Linked DNA regions of Drosophila melanogaster. The protein of the gene in region 3 binds, or shares a complex with, the protein of the main gene of each other region. Each region holds a gene or a part of one and is shown on either strand. Other genes may lie near its edges. The genes, in order: msl-2, msl-1 and mof.

Region 1 (6,594 bases), on a different chromosome or scaffold from region 3:
CCTGGGCGGCTATGCTGGCCTGACTCTCTTTGATCTTAAGTGCGTCATCCGACTCGCTGGCTTCCTGCTCCACAGCTGCTCAAAGGTCATTAATGAGTGGCTTAGTTCCGGTAGAGCTCAGACTGGAATTCGTCTTACCATCGCCAGGCTCCTGGGAGTGAACAATGTGGCAGCCACTTGCCATCAGGCCCACGAGCACGACCACTATCAACGGCTTCATCTTTCGGGGATTAGCTGGAGCTTCTGCTTATCAGTTGGAAAATGGAAGAAAACGCGCCAGCCTCCGTTCTCTACTCGGAACAAACACGCACTGTCGACTGGCGCGTTAATCAAAAGATAATGATGAGCCGCAGGCGGCGATCCGCTTATCTAAGGGCGACTCTGCTCGCGGAGCTGCTGATTAAACTCGGAATTGAGATTGAGTGACTTAAGTGAGCGGAAGCGGCCAGCACATTGTAGGCACTCATGGAACTCACTCCACTCCCAGGAACGATGTTCTAGAAATCATGAACTAGCAGCTTGCATGAGGCAAAGAGTGTTACGGTTCGAAAACGGTTTTGAAACCCAAAGAAAATCGCGCATTTTTCTGTAGTAGCAATGCTCATTTTTATTTGAATATTTTAATAGTTATATGTTCGCATATATAATATGGGTATATATGGCTTACTTGAATTGTTGTTCTTAATCCTAGGTTCACGTGCTCAAAAAAATTCATGCTCAAAAAAAGTCTTAGCCTATTCAAAAAAATGTCTTAGCCTATTAAAAAAAAAGGTTTTTTTTAGCTCACAGCATCCACATTTTGGGCAAAGCAATCTATAATTCGCTGTTCGTTGAACGAAAATAATCTTTAGTTTTGACTAATGCTTTACTCTTAAATAGATTATCTTTGCTGCAGCTGCAGAATTGCTTTAAATAGTTATGTATACGACTTTTGGCTTAATACGTATTAAAAAAAAATTGAGTTTTGGAAACGTTTGCTGGATGATTACAAAAATCAGATTGTAGAATGCTCCTAAAAGATATTTGGGAGTTGATTTGAGTGGAAGTTGTTTGAGTGGGGGAATATATAGCATAACGAAACCACAAGTTAAAAACAAGAGAGAATGCTAAAGTCGAATTTCCCGACTATCAGATACCCGTTACTCAGCTAGTGGAAATACGAACGCGAAATTTCATCATTTTTCTGGGATATCCAAGAGATATTGGGAAATAAAATGAGAAAAAATTTAAAATTGTGGGCGTGGAAGTTTTGGGCGGTAAGTGGGCGTGGCAACATGGGTAAACAACCAAGCGCTGCATCTATGTCTCTAGAATTTATATGCTTAATCTCAACCTTCTAGCTTTTATAGTTCCTGAGATCGAGACATTCATACGGACAGGGCCAGATCGACTCGACTATTGATCCTGATCAAGAATATATATACTTTACATGGTCGGAAACACATCTAGTATACCCTTTTACTCTACGAATAACGGGTATGATAAGAGGATCAAAGACGATACCACGTTATGGATGCAATTCAGTGCTGAATTCGACCATCCATAACGTACATAAAAATTATCTATTAAAGGATTGATACCTGGACATCACTGAGCACATAAAAAAACAAACATATAGGGATGAGTCGTCTTGCTTACAAGTCATCCGAGCCCGACATGATCTCCTCGAACAGTGAATGGGCATTGTCAGTGGCCGATGATCTGTCGCCAGCGGCAGAATTGCTCCTGGATCCGCCACTGACAAGCTCATCCACCGTGTCGAGGGCCGAGAAGTTGGCCCTTCCTCGGCGTGTTCGACTGGTCCTGAATTTCTTGGCCGGTGGCTCGATGACTTCCCTGTCAGGAGCAGGAGGCGGTGGTGGCGAAAGTGATGGAGCTGGTGGATTCGGCGGGTCAATTGTTGGCATTATATAAGCATACTGGGGAAGGGAACCGAAGCCATCGGTGTGCTGCAGCTGGACACGAATAGTGAAGCCAACGGTGACCGGATCAAGGGGCTTGCTGCCCTGGAAGATATTGAAGCCTGCAATTGGAACAGGGTTAGATAGGTCTAACACAGCGATGAGGTAACTTACCCTGGTACTCGCCTTTCTCATTCTGAACAAGCACCAAAGGATGCTGGGATTGCTGCAAATTATTTAGCGGCACTAGGCTTATGGGGGCAGAAGAGTCTGGCGGCGCCATACTGTTCTCCTCCTGCCTAGGCTCAGCTACCACCGGCTCCTCCGACTGAGTCATCGGCTCTGGAACGTCCTTCGGCATTTCGAAATCCTCCAAATCATCGTCCTCATCACTTTCAACGTAGTCCTCCTTGTGCGGATTCTTGCAGCACACGCAATGACACCCGGCACAGCTGTTGTAACTCTTGTAGCAAGGACATCGGGAATTCCGGCAGGTGGTGAGGGTATTGCTCGAGCCGGAGATACCGCAGCGGCACTTCGGCTTCGGAGGCTTCACCTTTTCCTCCTTGTCCTTGCCCCGAATCCTGCGAAGAGCGCCCTTTCCAGATTGCACTTTAGTCTTGACCTCAGACGGTACAGGCTCAATTTTGGCAGCTTGTGACGCTTTGAGAGTACGGGTTCTCTTTCGCTTAAGTGTTGGCTCGTCACTGTCCTCCTTCTGCAGCTCAGCACTGATTGCGTGCAGGTCCTTCTCCTTCTCCTTCGCCTCTTCAGCCGCTGCCTTTGCGTCCTCAAAATCTTTCTGCAACGACTCCGCATCCTGCAATTCTGTTTGCACATGACCCAATTGTGTTTTTGTGGCAACATGCTCCTCCACTGCTTCCTCCATTTCGGTTTGTGTAGGTGACTGTGAAGTGTGCACATCCAAGTGTTGATCCTCCTCCATGTGCTCAGCTACAACCTCTGACGGGATTGAGGTCCCTTCGGCCTCTTCAACGGTCTCTTCAACCAGAGCCTCATCAGATTCCTCAACTTGCAGATTAGCCAATTGATCAGAGATTTCGTTGGGTTCCTCAGCGGAGGTAAGCACTTCTAGCTGCGTGGATGTTTCAACGGTCTCTTCAACGGTGGTGGAGAGCACAGTCAACTGTGTGGACGTCTCGACGGTCTCCTCAACGGCAGCCAGCACAGCCAACTGAGTGGAGTCCGCCATTTGCACCACCTGGCCGATTTGCAGTTCCTGTGGATCGAACTTCGTGGTCGCAGAAGTGGGCATCACGTAGGAGACAGCAAAGTTGTTGCCGCTATTTGTGTATTTGGACACCGAAACCGTGCCAGACAGGTCTACCTGATCCGTCCACGCTTGGTCCATGAAGCCCGACTCCGAGCTCTCGGTGGCAATGACTATTTGCCCGGCGTGAGAGAGCATGCCCATGCGAGATCCTGTGGGCAGCAGGGGAAGCGGCGAGAAGTGACCCTGCTCCGCTGTGGCCGCCGCCTCCGCCTCAATGTCGCTGATGTTGAGGTGGTGATCATAGGGCAGTTCCGGAGTCGTGACCGCCGACGTAGGCGGCGTCTCTGCGGGCAGCGATGTGGGCATGTCCTTGAGGAACGGCAAATCCGGCTGGGGCAGAAAGATGTCAAAAGTGTCGGAGATGTTTGAGCCCTCGCGAATGAACTCCTGTGTGGTTTTGGGAGGCAGCTTGATGCGAGGCACCAGCTCCCTGGCCACCTGGGGCCGCATCCCGGCCAGCTCACCAAATAATGCCGAGTGGAGCAGGTGGACGCACAGCGTCTTGTAGCACAGTAGCTGGGCGGCCATCATACGGTTCTCCTCGTAGGTCTTGAAGTCGGAGCAACCCTCGCACTGGGTGCAGCTGGGAAACAGATGCTTCTTACCGCGCAGACACAGCCGGCACACGTTGTGCTGGCACCGCTTGCCCTTGGGCGAGTAGGGATCCACCAGCAGCTGGCAGCAGACCACGCAAGACAGCAGCTGCCGTAGCTCGCCGAGCCCGGAGTTCAGCTCCTCCACCCGCCGTTTGGAAAGATTCGAAGCGGAGCGCATCGCGATGCGTGTCACCTTCAAGTATGCCGTCTGGGCCATGATGGCTATATTTTTATGCCCGGGACTGTACGCACGCCGCTGTTTGTTTACGTTTTTCAGCCCAAAAGTGAGACTCCGCTGGCCAAGTAAGTGCCTTGTCGGTCCGACCCACGCCACCTGCTCCGCTACCTGGTGCCTCCTGGGCTAGTTACCTGCAATTCCTCGCCCGTAGGAGCTCAGTTACACATGCTTAGACCGCGTTAATCCTCGATTTCATTATCTAATGGTAACTTTACTGGAACGCTTTTTGTTGGTTTCACTTTTGTGGCTTCGTTATCACTATGTTTCACGTGCAAAAAAAAAAAAAAAATTGGTTTACGTTTGAGAGGTCTCAAGTCATTGTTAATGGTTATGCTGCACACTGTGCAACAGCGTTGAAAACAATAAATTAGCAACTAAAAAAAAAAATTACCCAAGCAATATTTTGCTGAGCGAAGCCAGTGTGACCGCAGTGTGCCAGTGCGAACATGCTAGCTGCAGTGCGGCATAGGTGTGACCACTACCTCGAACAGCTGATTTCAGTGCTCTGAGGAATTTTCGCAGTTACGAACTGCGGTCCTACAACAAATTTTAACACTTAGTTTTTCAAGTAAATATGGTTTTTTAAGTATTTTCCGTCAAAGGAAAGCGGAAAACCTTGGAAATTATTTACTAACAGCTCTTCCGCTTACGCCAGGTGGTAGGAGAGCCAGAAAATGCCGGAACCGCGCAGTCCGATGGCCAGTTTTGCCGAGTCGGTGCTGAATGTCATCGATGGACCCATAACTTGGTTCCGTGGTATGTAGTCCACAGGGATTCCCAATGGCCATGGTCATGGGAGTCTCCAGATGCTGCAAGTTTGCGTTTCCTTTGGCCAACGATCGGAAAAACCGGACAAATTCCAGACAATTACATAATGACATAACCTCAACTCGCAGTCCATTTGTTTTTGTTTACACTGTATTGCTGAAATGCTAAAATGTTTATAATCAACCGTTTTAAGTAATTTCTAGCTAGCGCAAACTAAATCTCTTAGAATACTAGTCGGCAGCCCTTAAATGCCGTCCGTTACTATATAGTTCATCTAGTCAAAGCGGGATCATGTTTTTCAACAGAAATGCATTACAGCTAGTATATTTTATTAATGCGCCTTGTGTTAATCCCACAGAGAGCATTGTGGAGCCGAACCAGCAGAAGCAGAATTGGTACCACCAGCGCTTCCGCCGCGTTCCGACGATCGACCAGTGCTACACGGACGATGCCGTCTGCCGTTTCGAGGCCGATCAGCAGTTCCGCCGGGATCGCATGGTCGACAACGAGATTGTCAACATTCTGCGCCAGCGCTTCGAGGACTGCACCCTCTACGAGGCACCCGATCACATGGTCAAGTGCAGGCCGCTGATGGATCAGTACGAGAAGGCCACCGAGAACTGGTTCATCAAGTGTGAGTGGAATCCCTTACCCATCTTCTTTAAAGTTGTATGTGATATATAACGAGATATAACCCATTATAGATGGCGACTTGGGAGGCTACGCCAATGCCAAGACCGCGTACATGAAGCAGAAGCATCGTCTGATCTGGGAGCGTCGTCATGGACCAGTGGGCAGTGGCATGAAGGAGGAGGCCGCCCATTAAACTCCGCTTTTATGATGATGTTTTCTAGTTTCATTATCCGTTAAAACAAAATATACACGCCGTAAAACGATATTCCCAAGGATTGAGCTTTCTTTCAATTGTTTCAGTGTAAATTATAAGGTAAGAGCTACTAGGAATTATTTATTACTACAGCAGTTTCAATTCATTTGTCTATTAGTTGCATTTATTCTTAGTCATGTTTTTCTTAAAATAAATATTAATATTGGCGTTTGATATAGAATTTTGGCTATAGACTAGCTTAAAACTAATAGTTCTCAAGATTAAGAGCCTTGGTTAAGTTGTTCCAGTGAGTAAAATAAAGTTTTTGCCTGCGTACTGCAATAAGTTTACAGAATATAGTGATAAATCATAAAACTCACACTGTAATTCTTCAGACTTTTTCGAAAATTTAGACAATTTCAAAAAGAGTTCCATAATTTCTCATTTTTTAAAAAAAGGAATGCACAGTCCATAAATCATTTGCTTTTCTTAAAAAAAGAAAAAATTACACTTTTAGAAATAGATACCAATAGATAGGCAATAGTGAAATTTGTTCAAGCTTTCTAGAATTACGCTATCTTAGATTACTTTCGAGCTCAGCTAATCGAGACCAGCGGCTTGTTGATGAGACTCTTTTTGAGCTTAGCCAGAGCGCTATTTGCGGCCTTGTCTCCTGGCTTCTTGTCCTTGTTTTTGGGACCCAATGGTATCATGGTTGTGTCCATTAGCTTGCGTCTGAATCCCTTGTAGAACTGCAGCACGTGTGGATTGGCCCACACTTGCTTGGCGTCAAAGTCCAGGATGCGAATGGACTGCAGGGATTTCGCACGGGATAAGGCCACATAGGCCTGTCCAGCCTCAAATACTTTGGAAAGGGACATCTCCACGCAGTCGAGGGTTAGTCCCTGACTCTTGTGTATGGAAAATGCCCAGGCTAACTTCAGTGGCACTTGGCGTCGTGTTATATGGTT
Region 2 (7,708 bases), on a different chromosome or scaffold from region 3:
CCATGGGGACTTCAACGAACAAAATATAGTGGTGGAGCAGGTGCCCAATCAAACTGAATATACCATCAAGGGAGTTATTGATTTCGGTGATACGAGCAAATCGCCACTGATCTTCGAAATTGGAATTGCCCTCACTTATATGATACTGCAGGCCAACGATTTGGCCAATGGTGGCATATTTCTGTCCGGTTATACCAGTCTGAACCCAATTGAGAATTCCGAGCTGGCCCTTCTCAAGTACTGTGTTACTGCCCGATTTGTTCAGAGCCTGGTAATGGGACTCTACACCCACACGCTGCATCCCACAAATGAGTACCTCCTGGTGACCCAGGAAAAGGGATGGAAGCTCCTTCAGAAGCTGTGGCGCGAGAGCTTTGACGATATTGATGAGCTGTGGGCAAGCACTGGACACCAGTACTTGACGCAGAGCAATAAATAATATAAAATTCCGTTAGGCTTTTCCGTTTTTTAAAGGTATTTTAACTGATTTTCAATCCAGCTATTCTGGTTGTTGAAGATTTTGTATGTTATGTTTTCCATTAGGTAACGAGGGTCAGATAAAATTGTCACAGCCAATATATAGAGTATAATGAAGCATTTTCTAAGATATTAAATACATTTGCAATTAGCCCCTAAACAAGTTTATATCGAGATGATCGCAAACAAAAAGACATCTAAGGAAACCAGAAGCAAGCGATGCCAGGTCATTGGAAAATCAATTGAGGCCTGTTAAATAAACCCATTGTCAATTATTAGAATTTCATTTACATATCACCTGTGCAAAATAAGTTGCAAGTCCAAGTATTGATTGCATTTCGTTGCTTTACAATTTACTTTATCCTGTATATTATTATCGTTATCTTTACAATAAAACTTGTTAAACAAATACAAATACATTGTATGTAGTACATTTATTCTTACAGTAGGTGAGTTTGTTTAGGGCTCTACAATGGTGGCAATTAATTTCGAATTGATTTTTAGTTGAAGCTTCAGTAAATTGAACTATTTAACGCTAATTACATTGAATGGTGTAAAATGGTGTTGAACGAAGTTCATCCACCCTCCGCTCCTCCTTTTCCTGGACAATGTACATCGTATCGTATTTACTTTGTTACATTATAATTATCTCTATGCGTTTGGGTACAGTGCCTACTTAACGCTATATTACAAGTAACCGACTTTACACCTATCGAAATGTACAAAAATAAGACGCCACTCGAAAGCGAGCTGGTGATTTGATTTCTCCGGACGTTGGCAGGCTCCATATCATTGCGACAGAAAGTCAAACAGAAGAAGTGTTAAACGAAACAATATTTAGCCAAAAATACATGGTGCCCATAAGGCCAAACGGGTGTGCAGTTCGGGAATCAGTTTTATATTTATTCTTCAAATCTAGTTTTCATCTTAACGGCCTTTCTTGTTCGATACAACATAAAACAAGTTTAATGAAGTTAATAAAATAAAACAATAGATCCAATGTATAATTTGATTACTCGAAGCAGACAACCACTCGCACTCAATTTTTACACAATCAAATCCTAAAAAAAAAGACAAATTATCAGAGATATACCTGAGTAACTCTTTGCAACACACACGTTGTCTGCATTCGAGAATCGACAGATATAACAGTATAAACAAAGACAAAAAAAATGGTTATAAGGGCTAAAGAAAAAAAATATTTAAAAATATAAGTCTACGAATTTCATTGTTTTTCTCCAAAAAAATGCCCAATATAACTTATGTGAATATCTTTCGTGTTCTTATCACTTTAGTGCGGGCGATTTTAAAGGTGATAAAGCTGAGATGAGTTAACCAATCTAACTAAGCGACTGGTTTGAATTACATGCTGTGTGGGACTAAGTAATTTACGTACATTGGAAACAAGCAAGGGTGAAACTCTTTTCAATTGCAAGACGTTAACTAAAAACTAATCATTTCCAGACCAGGCGACGAACATTTGGATTCATTTACATCTAATATAAGATCGAATTATTTATATTTCAAGGAAATAAATATGATAACAATTTAATAGAAAAATGTTTGAATAGGACAGCTCAATTTACTTGCCTTTTAAGATCTCTCATCGCATAAGAAACGACAAAACTTTGACATAAATTTATAGATTCTATAACAAAGAATTTCTAATGTTCCAGAATTCAGCGTTCCGTTCATTTTATTACACAAATAAAAACGGACAGTTGAGGAACCATATATACAATAAACATCGTCTGCTCTGGATTATTTGACTTCTAGACGATCTGTGGTAATCGTTACTGTTAACTCTGGTGCTTTCACGTTAAGCTTAAGAAATAATTCATGATTTAAAACTGAAAATCATTAGTATGTCAAACGCAACGACTTCCCCCAACCGACAGTCTTCTGCTTAGCTCCAGTATCAGATCCCCCAGGCGTTTCCTGGCTAACGATTCTTCTGGCGCTTGCGTCGCTTGGGAAACACGTAGGAGGAGTGATTTTCTTGATGCCTCGCCTCGGCAGCAGTGGTGGGTATTTTTTTGCTAGCCAACGTTGCCACCGGCTCAGCCAGTGCCTTGGACCTGGCTATGGAGGTTGGCGCTTCGATTGCATCCACCCAAGGCACACCGAAATCATCCCGCGCCTCCATGTTGACCACGTTTTCGCCGAATGCCTGAACTGTCACCTCGTTGACGAATTGGATGGCCTCTATGTCCTCGGGCAGCGGGTAGAAAGTGGAGGCGCGCAGAGGATCCAGCGCAACCAACACCTCGTCTTGGTTCCGTCGCATCCGAAGCTGTTCAAGCCGTATCTGCTCCTTCATATAACGTGCATCCCTACACTTTCGATCGACCTCATCCTTCACATATTTCTGGTGCCGGCGCTCGAAGGTCGCATCGCTCAGTAATTCTGTGTCAATTTTATCCGAACTGGGTGGCACTGGGACATCCCGCCACTTGGGTATCTCCAGACTAGGGTTATCCGCCAGCAGCTCGTCGGCCTCCTCCAGGAAGAACTCGTTGTCACAGTGGAACTCCTGATCCTCCCACGTTCTCGTGCTGTACGGAAACGTGGCAGTGCGGAATCTGGACTGCAGTTTTCCCGATCTCGCCGTTGCCTTGCTGTACGTGTGGGGTGAACAGTTGTTTAGCGTTTTTCGGATAGTCGAAGTGGTGCTGCTAACACTGCTATTAGATTGAGGTGTCAGAGGAGTTGCTATTTGTTCAGCTGCCTTGGATTTCGATTTTGCTGCAGATATTTCCTGGTCCATTGAGGATGTAACCGCATGCTGTGGCGTTGAGCCAGGCGTTGGTGTCGTTGACGGCGTAGGCGCTGGGGTTATTGTTGTTGAGGATACTGGTGCACTGGGTGGTGGATATATTAGATTTGTGGCGACTCTCTCTCTTATTTTCTTGAGCGTAACCTGTGACGAATGACTCTGGCTTAGGAGCTCCTTTTTTAAATGTTCCGCCAGTTTTCTTCTAACTGTTTCCACATCTATTTCTTGATCTGGGCTCTGAGACGTTTCCGACGTGGTCTTTTTATCATTGACCAACATACTTTTACTTTTAATGGTTTTCGTCTCGGGCGTCGAAACTGGATCAACGTTCTTTTGTTTCCGAATATCAGACGGGGCGGAGGAGCCGGTTCTCATGTCAGGATGCATTTCATACTGCCTGATCTTAACCTGCAAACGCTGCGTTTTTACAGGATCCGTTTGCGTCTTGGTGGACTGATGGTTGGCTATTACTTTTTGAGCGGGAGCGTCTTTTATGTCAGCGGTGTTTGCCTTGGGCAACGTGCTTTCTCGAGAGGATGTTTTCGTAACCTTTGGGGCTACCGCTTTCGGAAGGTGCTTAGGTGCATCCTCTGGTTGCCTTTTCAGAGTTTCCTTCTGTACCTTACGAACATCCTCTTGTGGTTCCACGCGAACATCCAGCTGCCCATCCTGCCTCTGTTCGTCTTTGGGCTGGTCCTTCGGTTTTAAGTCCGGCTTGGGAACTTCCAACTGATTCTTTATTGCATTATGATCAACGATGGCATCTTCCTGATGCGGCTGCTGCTTGGGTACTTCTGGGGACTCGGGGACTGATTCATGTTCCTTATCCTTTTTCTTAAAAGCCACCCACTTCGGGAGAATCGGCGCTTCTAATGCATCTACCATTGGCTCAGGCTTTAGTTGCAACAACTTTTCAGTTATCCGATTCTGATTTCCTTCTTTCCTTATCTCTGCCTGTGTCGAAGACTTCTGCTGGTGATTGGGAGTTGAATGGGCCGAAGGCGCACAGGTCTTCTCCTCCGTCGGGTCCAATTCCAAAAGGTAATTCTGAAAGAGTAAAGGATTGCTCGATATATTCTTTTAATTAAATAATAACATTAAACATACCTGATTCTGCCAGAGCTCTTCCTCAGTTCTGGCGTTTACATCCGCATCGCTATGCATCCACGGATAATCATCCTCTTCACTGTCATCGTCTTTATCACTATTCTCGTCATCTTCGTCGTCCTCGTCATCATCCTCCTCGATATGGCCGTTGGCATCCACGGACTGTCCATGCTCCTCCATATCAACCAGCTCTTCGGTGACCACTTCCATTTCAATTGATTCCAAAGCATCATGAAAGATATCGCCTCCAACGACTTCCTCGGTGTGCACTTCTTGCATATGCAGATGATCTTCCTCAGCGACCAGTTGGTCCTCTTCCTGAGATATTTGCTCCTTATGTGCCTCCATCTCGTGCTCCTCTGCTACTTCCGTTTGCTCGTGGATGTGGTGCTCGAAGTCCTGATTCATGCGCTGGAGAATAAACGTGCTCACCTTTTTACCGTTGAATTCACCGCGGCCTTTGCTCTCCGAGCGTTTGCTGGCTGGCTGATTCGTTACCGCTCCAGCGTGATGGTCCAGAGCGGGAGACTCCTTCATGTTGATACCCCTGGGAAGTGCATTCGCGAATTGAGGCTGCGCATCTATCGTTTGTGTGCCCTGTTCCCGCTCCCGAAACACAGTTTGCGTCTCAGCATGACAACGTATCAACTTCTGCTGCGGGGCAGCAGGTGGCAGTGGGGGATCATCGTCGTCGTCGTCATTGTCGTTCCTTCGCTGGTTCTTTCGCCGCAGCTGTTTGCATAGTTCCTGGTTGGCGGCCTCCAACTGAGCAACGGCCTGCTTTAATTCCTCATTCTGCGCCTTCACCACGCTCATCTTAGCGCTTTGGTCGTCCAGCTCCTTGTCCTTGGCCGCTATGCTGTCCGTCTGCTCCTGCATCAGGTTTAAGTTCAACATAACCATGCGCCTCAGGTTGTTGTTCTCCGAGATGAGCTTGACCATATCGGCGCCGGCACACACGGTTCCGCCGGAGGAAGGAGGAGCCATGGCTCCGCCACCATGCTCAGCTGGCAGCGAATGCAAAAGCTTTCGGTAGTTGTTATTACCCCCGCCATGTCCTCCACGACCATTGCCATATTGCTGGCGCTCATAGATCTTCCCGGGATGCTGATGAAGATGCTGCGTCTGATTGGGATGGCCGTGCAGATTCCTTTGGCGGCCACGCGACGGTATGTGGGGATAGGGCGATTCCAAGTAGTTGGCCCGCTTTTTGGGCGGCCACTTGAATCGCTTGTCCATGGCAGTCGAATTGAATCCCGTGCCGTCGGTCCTACGATCTCATAATTCTCCAAATGTTTTTGTTTTGTTTTGGTTTTGTTTGCGTCGCTTGGGGTGCACACAATCTCTTCAGCTGATACGCCGTACAATGCGTAGAATCCCGATTACAATTTCGCACCACACTAAATTTTCCTTGCTCGCCCTCGCAAAAGAACCGCTCTTTTCTTGGCCAGAATCTAATGGATTTATCGTTTTAAACGTGGCGTTCTTATCGCACGTGGTGACCGCATTTAGGCAGCAGTTTTTCGGTTCGTTTTTGAACGTTCTTTCACCGCTTTTTCCACAATTGTCCTCACAATGTAAAGTCGCCCCGAAAATGCTCTTAAAAGTATGGCGTTTTGCTGGCGTTGCCACTTTTCGCCAAAGCGCAGAGTTGATTGGGGGCATAGAGATGGCAATTTGCTGCGATGCACGAGCTGAGCACGACAGTCACGAAGTGAAAATATTTTCACGAAACTGTACTTTGTTGCACATAATAGCTAATAGCTAAGTTAACACGAGCCGACGAACTAGTACAGTTGGCTTAGTGTATGAAACATAATATCAAAGTGCTGAGACAGCATTGGGCCGGAGTCTTTGTTAGCTTTAAGAATCATTTTAAGTTTCAGCTTAAATTTGCAGTTACCAGAATAAAGAGCGGCAGCTCGTCAACTCCGACTAAATGTCGTTAAACACATTTTTATTTCTTACTCTGCCAGACCACAAGGATAGCAGTTAAAAGAGGACAGTTTCTCTCAACGTAAATAATAATCTTCCGTTGCTCCCCGGATAATTATTTTCAATTTTTATGTGGTATGAGTAATTGGAATGAGAAAATAGATGAAAAAGAAACTAGCTAGCTAATAATGTATTGATTTTATTTTATTTTTTTTGGTAATTTTATTACATTACCAACTCCTTTTAAATATTTCACTAAATTTAAATAACTACAATCTTTGGATGAATTATCCTTCCTTGTATAATGGTATAAATATAATAGAATAACAAAAACTCGTGACGCCAATGTGTCGCTTAGTGATAAAAAAAACGTGTCACGCTGCCATCTCTTATGTCTGCTGCCACCAATGCAAAAGCCGGGTTGGCTGTACAAATTACCTTTAGTGCCACCCACTAATGAAAATATGTCTAAGCAAATCAAAATAGCCTTTGGGAAAGACCAAATAGTTATGTAATCGGAAAATTAAAAGAACAAAGAGCTGTTCAGTTGGCAGCCCCCTGTGACTTATGCAAGCGTCGCCTGTGAATGGTAGATAGAGAAGAAGAACAAAAATTGGCGCCAAAATTTTGTTAGATTGTTTATTTGGTATTTAAGTTTCGGCCACTAGTTCTATGGCATCCCTGTTCGGAGATGATGGTGTGGATGACCTATTCAATGACAACATTCCGACTGACCCGGATCAGCTGCCCAGCGATGGCGAAGGCGAAAAGCTGTTTGCGGACGACGAGGACAACGGCGTAGAACCTGGTAGCCAGGATGCCCAGATAGTGGAGCCTAAGAAGCGAGCTGTGAGAAATCCCCGACCGCGACTCACTGTGGAAACACTTCGAGGTCCTCGTGGCATCCAGACCATCGAAGATTATTTTAAGGACATCAAATTCAAGGGCAAGGGTTACGAGAAAACCGATCTCGACGAGGTGCTTCGCCGCCTGCAGCACTGGGGCCATCGTATGTATCCCACCTACACCTTTGACGATGTGCTTAACAATATCGAACGGCTGGGCAAGAAGAAACCCCTCCAAGTGCACATGGCGCGATATCGACTCGGTCAGCTGGAGCAGATGCGCGCCCACGAAGCGGAGGCCCTGGAGGAGGCGCAGGATGAGCAACAGGAAGGTGCCGGCGATGAACCCTTTGATGAGTTCGACGCCCTGCTAGGTGAACAGATTGCCATGTCCAGGCTGGCGCCTCCCAGCCCGCAGCAGTGGAAAATGTCTACTGCTTCCAGTAACAGCACGCTGGCTACTCCGTCATTCTCCCGCGGCAATGCTGTAATGTCCACGCCGTACTCCGGTGTAAATGCGACCTTCGACAGAAGTGGAGCTTCTGTGGCTCCGGCCTTCGATCGGAAT
Region 3 (5,555 bases):
TAAACATGGAGTATGATGAGAGCACCAGTTTGCAGCGATTGGTGCGTTCCGAGGCCCACACACCGGATTCGCCTGCCTCTGTTTGCGAACGCGACGGAAACGATCGCCTGGGATCCGTGCTTCTGGATGCCGTTTCGCCAGGGACACCCTTTGGCTTTCCGCTCGTCAGCAATCCGGATTCCTTGGCTACGCCTATGTTGGGCGGCGAGCGTTCGTCGCGACCGCGACTTCCACAATCCCAACAGCAGCAGGATGAGGGTCTGAATCGCCGGGTGTCCAGCTCCTGTCGATCGCTAGAGCGCCTGCATCGCGGACCAGGTCGGGTGTCCATCTGGTCCAACATGATGCCCAGCCAAGTGGCGCATCCGTTTCAGGGCGCCATGGGCGCACAGATCGTGTGCAATGGCTGCGGCTCCAAGTCGGCCGTTCGGTACGATAAGTTCGACAGCATAACGCTAAATCTGCCGCCGCAACGCAGAACTGGCTTGAGTTTGGGCCACTTGCTTAGCGAGTATATCACATCGGAGGATCTGAGCGATGTCAAGTGTGACTCCTGCAACGAGACCACCACGCACACCAAATCGGTTACGTTCGCTAAACTACCGGCCTGCCTGTGCATCCATGTGGCGCGGACGGTGTGGCTGCCAACTGGACAGGTGTGCAAGCGGAAGGACTATGTACACTTCCCCGAGAGCCTCTCCATGGCGCCCTACAGCTTCGTGCAGCCGCATCTCAATAGCCAGGTGAGCGTGTGTTGCATATGTTTGCCCCAGAATAACAAACTTCCCCTGTAAAAATTATCCTTATATATGATCATTTAAATACATATATCTAAAGGATATATATGTATAGGATATATCTATAGAATATAGGTCTTTCCTTTTCTAATTGGTGTACAAAGAGTAGTGGCATTCAATTCAAGAACTGTTTACATTTAGTAACTAGCATATTGTTAAAACAAACACTTTTGCTCATGATTACAGGCTGGCACTCCCTGGGGCTCGACAATGTCGCTGTATTCCTCCAGCCTGCCGATGAACAATGGCGTTGGTGGTGGCGAGGGCTTTGGCACGATGTTCCCCAAGAATCTTTACCGGCTTCTGGCCGTGGTGGTGCACTCCGGGGAGGCAAACAGCGGTCACTTTGTAACCTACAGGCGTGGCTCGTTGCGGAACGCACATCGGTATGGTTTCCATTGCCTCTGTGTAATAATTATGCTAATTCTGTGCTATCCTTATTAGGTGGTACTACACATCGGATACAATTGTGCGGGAGGTGAGCATCGACGAGGTGTTGAGCGTCCCCGCCTATCTTTTATTCTACGATCGTGGCCAGCAGAGGCAGCTAAATCTGCGCTAGTCAGGTGTAGGTCGTCGGTATTATTCTAGTCCATACTTTTGATGTGATGAATATGAATATCCGAAACCAAATCCTTTTCGTCGAACGGTGGCCATAGCAAACACGCGTCACATTTATATAGATATATATACATAACTCATATAAGTACGGGAACCCACGATGATCTGACCTATACTCGGCGGGTTCATGTAATGGTCTCCGCATAATCCAAACTCTGTGTACGGCTTATTGCATATAGGAACTCCCTATCGTAACAGAGAGCTCGACTCTTCATTTGTTATCTATGCATTTAAGATTTTTTAAGAATTCCAAATTCATGCCGTGCTTTTAGCTGTCTGTATTTAGCAATGTACACAAATCAACTACCAATAATTGTTTGCGCGTTAATTCTGTAGGATAGATGTTCAATAAAAATTTCGAAATCAGTTCCAATTTTTTAAAGTGCTTTCTCTGAAGGTTTTGGATAAATAAAATATATTATAATACTGAATGCACAGAAAAATCCAGAAGGGTAATTTCAAAAAGGGTGCAAAGTATTGTACATCGATAACCACCGATTAATAATCGATTATCTGGACATGTTGTGATAAATCAGGGTTGCATTTCACGCCGTATTTCGTTTCATTTCCCTAAAGAGTGAACAAAAATACGCAATTGGACAAATCTAGTGGCTAAGAATGTCTGAAGCGGAGCTGGAACAGACACCCAGCGCGGGCCACGTGCAGGAGCAGCCGATTGAGGAGGAGCATGAGCCGGAACAGGAGCCAACCGATGCGTACACAATTGGCGGTCCGCCGAGGACGCCGGTTGAAGATGCGGCGGCCGAATTGAGCGCCAGTCTAGACGTCAGCGGCTCGGATCAGTCGGCGGAGCAGTCGCTCGACCTCAGCGGTGTCCAAGCGGAGGCCGCGGCGGAGTCAGAGCCACCGGCGAAGCGCCAGCATCGCGACATCAGTCCCATTTCGGAGGACAGCACGCCGGCGAGCAGCACATCGACTAGTTCCACCAGGTCGTCCAGCTCCTCCCGCTACGACGATGTTAGCGAGGCGGAGGAGGCACCACCGGAGCCCGAGCCGGAGCAACCACAGCAGCAGCAGCAGGAGGAAAAGAAGGAGGACGGTCAGGATCAGGTGAAGTCACCAGGTCCAGTTGAATTGGAGGCACAGGAGCCCGCGCAGCCGCAGAAGCAGAAAGAGGTGGTGGACCAGGAAATTGAAACCGAGGATGAGCCCTCCTCCGATACGGTAATCTGCGTGGCCGACATCAACCCCTACGGCAGTGGTTCCAACATTGACGACTTCGTTATGGATCCCGATGCTCCTCCCAATGCAATAATCACCGAGGTGGTTACCATTCCAGCTCCTCTTCATCTCAAAGGGACACAACAACTGGGGCTGCCATTGGCTGCCCCACCGCCACCACCACCTCCTCCAGCAGCGGAACAAGTCCCCGAGACTCCCGCCTCGCCCACAGATGACGGCGAGGAACCACCAGCAGTATATTTATCCCCCTACATACGCTCTCGCTACATGCAGGAATCGACACCTGGCCTGCCCACCCGCCTGGCGCCGCGTGATCCTCGCCAGCGCAACATGCCGCCGCCAGCCGTAGTTCTGCCCATTCAAACCGTACTTAGCGCCAACGTTGAGGCCATTTCTGACGACAGCAGCGAAACTAGCAGCAGCGATGACGATGAAGAGGAAGAGGAGGACGAAGATGATGCCTTGACCATGGAGCACGACAACACTTCCAGGGAGACGGTCATCACAACAGGTGACCCTCTGATGCAAAAGATCGATATAAGCGAAAATCCCGACAAGATCTATTTTATTCGGCGCGAGGATGGCACCGTGCACCGTGGCCAGGTGCTTCAGTCTCGCACCACTGAGAATGCGGCCGCTCCCGATGAGTACTACGTCCACTATGTTGGTCTCAATCGCCGCCTGGACGGATGGGTGGGCAGGCATAGGATCTCGGACAATGCGGATGACTTGGGCGGTATTACCGTGCTGCCAGCGCCACCATTAGCCCCCGATCAGCCAAGTACTAGCAGGGAAATGCTCGCCCAACAGGCCGCCGCGGCGGCAGCTGCCTCATCCGAACGGCAGAAGCGTGCGGCCAACAAGGATTACTATCTGTCCTATTGCGAGAACAGTCGCTATGACTACAGCGACCGCAAGATGACACGCTACCAGAAGCGGCGCTACGATGAGATCAACCACGTGCAGAAGAGCCACGCTGAGCTGACCGCCACGCAGGCGGCGCTGGAGAAGGAGCACGAGTCCATTACGAAGATCAAGTACATTGATAAGCTGCAGTTTGGCAACTACGAGATCGACACCTGGTACTTTAGTCCCTTCCCCGAAGAATATGGCAAGGCACGTACGTTATATGTTTGCGAGTACTGCCTAAAGTACATGCGCTTCAGGTCGAGCTATGCCTATCATCTGCACGAATGCGACCGCAGGCGTCCGCCCGGAAGAGAGATCTACCGCAAGGGCAATATATCCATTTACGAGGTGAACGGCAAGGAGGAGTCACTATACTGCCAACTTTTGTGTCTGATGGCCAAGCTCTTTTTGGACCACAAGGTTCTATACTTCGACATGGACCCGTTTCTCTTTTACATCCTTTGCGAGACGGACAAGGAGGGCAGTCACATTGTGGGCTATTTCTCCAAGGAAAAGAAGTCGCTGGAAAACTACAACGTGGCCTGCATTCTGGTATTGCCGCCGCATCAGCGTAAGGGATTTGGAAAGCTACTAATAGCCTTTAGCTATGAGCTGTCGCGCAAGGAGGGCGTAATCGGTAGTCCGGAGAAACCGCTCTCGGATCTGGGTAGGCTGAGCTATCGCAGCTATTGGGCATACACGCTGCTGGAGCTGATGAAAACCCGCTGCGCTCCAGAGCAGATCACAATCAAGGAGCTGAGCGAAATGAGTGGCATCACCCACGACGACATTATCTACACGCTGCAGTCCATGAAGATGATCAAGTATTGGAAGGGCCAGAATGTCATTTGCGTTACGTCCAAGACCATTCAAGACCACCTCCAGCTGCCGCAGTTCAAGCAGCCCAAGCTGACCATCGACACCGATTACCTCGTCTGGAGTCCGCAAACTGCAGCGGCAGTGGTCAGAGCTCCGGGAAATTCCGGCTAGCATACGGAACCTGGAGACCCCGTTCTGCTATCATCGCATATAATTGTTATTGACGATGACGATTAGGTTTTTTTTTTTTATTTTTTTTTAAAGAAAGCGTAGGAATAAGCTATTCTATTGCACCCCTCCAAACGAAAAATGTATAGTCATATATCTAAATGGAACCATCAGAAGGTTCAATGTAATACTTAACATTTGGTTTACAATTTTTTTTTTTTATAGTTAAGGAGTTTTACGGATAGGCTGTTGTAACTCTTAATGATAGAACCAAATGTCTAATTCGTTTGGCTAATGTTTTTGGAGAGGGAATTTGGAACAACCATTTAAAAATTTTAAAAACTTCTGTGTTCTTGAAATATATATCTTTAACTACTTTATCTCGAAAAACTCTGGACTTGTTAAAAACCAAATAAACTTCCACAGCAGCCGATATGCCGACGCCTGAAGAGAATACATCTCTATGAACTCCTTACACGTAAGATAGCATAATCTCTCCACGGTACATTTTTATACACTATAATTAAGGAAGAGAATCCATAATATCTTTTAGGCTACACATTAGGTTAAGTTCAGAAAGAACTGAACGATTCCTACTGACTAATGAACAATAATAAATGATTTAAACTGTAAAAAAGAAAAACTCCAATCTGAGAACATGATGTACTTTCTCAAATAAATGCGTCGTTACATTAACGTCAAAAAGAGGAAAAATTAAATAAATATTTACAACGACAGGTTATTCTTTTCATTATTTTTGCAACACATTTCTTGTAGGTTAGCTTAATATGTATATTTTGATATAATAAAAAATATATATAGAAATATCGAAAACATTGGAAAAACAAGTTTAAAATTTCGAGCATTAAAATCCATTGCTAACCCTCTCCTCCCTAGCGTCATAAGCAATCGGTTATCGAGGTTATCGATAACGCCCGCATCGATACAATTCCGCCGGCTTGTCCGATTCGTGTTGTTGTGATTCGGGATATATACAGGATATAGGGCAGCCAAAATGGGCCTGCTGTCCGATCCGTC

Evidence for each region.
Region 1: mof (region 3) and msl-2 share a complex: the UniProt entries of both Drosophila melanogaster proteins name them as parts of the male-specific lethal (MSL) histone acetyltransferase complex.
Region 2: mof (region 3) and msl-1 share a complex: the UniProt entries of both Drosophila melanogaster proteins name them as parts of the male-specific lethal (MSL) histone acetyltransferase complex.

Annotation. Positions count from the first base shown.
Region 1 is NT_033779.5:3,461,632-3,468,225, forward strand, and holds msl-2 (male-specific lethal 2), read right to left. Parts: upstream 4,482-6,594; 5' UTR 4,421-4,481; exon of another isoform or gene 4,288-4,420; 5' UTR 4,009-4,287; coding exon 2,076-4,008; intron 2,024-2,075; coding exon 1,635-2,023; 3' UTR 587-1,634; downstream 1-586. Other genes in the region: CG3246 (uncharacterized protein), read right to left, coding at 1-75, 139-220; ND-PDSW (NADH dehydrogenase (ubiquinone) PDSW subunit), read left to right, coding at 4,704-4,785, 5,156-5,431, 5,502-5,623; Pif1 DNA helicase, read right to left, coding at 6,220-6,594. UniProt on the Drosophila melanogaster protein: Limiting component of the male-specific lethal (MSL) histone acetyltransferase complex, a multiprotein complex essential for elevating transcription of the single X chromosome in the male (X chromosome dosage compensation).
Region 2 is NT_033779.5:18,682,827-18,690,534, forward strand, and holds msl-1 (male-specific lethal 1), read right to left. Parts: upstream 5,975-7,708; 5' UTR 5,600-5,974; coding exon 4,361-5,599; intron 4,301-4,360; coding exon 2,420-4,300; 3' UTR 894-2,419; downstream 1-893. Other genes in the region: CG31751 (uncharacterized protein), read left to right, coding at 1-439; CG10336 (uncharacterized protein), read left to right, coding at 6,968-7,708. UniProt on the Drosophila melanogaster protein: Component of the male-specific lethal (MSL) histone acetyltransferase complex, a multiprotein complex essential for elevating transcription of the single X chromosome in the male (X chromosome dosage compensation).
Region 3 is NC_004354.4:5,873,234-5,878,788, reverse strand, and holds mof (males absent on the first), read left to right. Parts: upstream 1-1,935; 5' UTR 1,936-2,036; coding exon 2,037-4,520; 3' UTR 4,521-4,949; downstream 4,950-5,555. Other genes in the region: Usp30 (ubiquitin specific protease 30), read left to right, coding at 1-743, 984-1,183, 1,242-1,359; GAA1 (glycosylphosphatidylinositol anchor attachment 1), read left to right, coding at 5,533-5,555. UniProt on the Drosophila melanogaster protein: Histone acetyltransferase that catalyzes the formation of the majority of histone H4 acetylation at 'Lys-16' (H4K16ac), an epigenetic mark that prevents chromatin compaction and constitutes the only acetylation mark intergenerationally transmitted.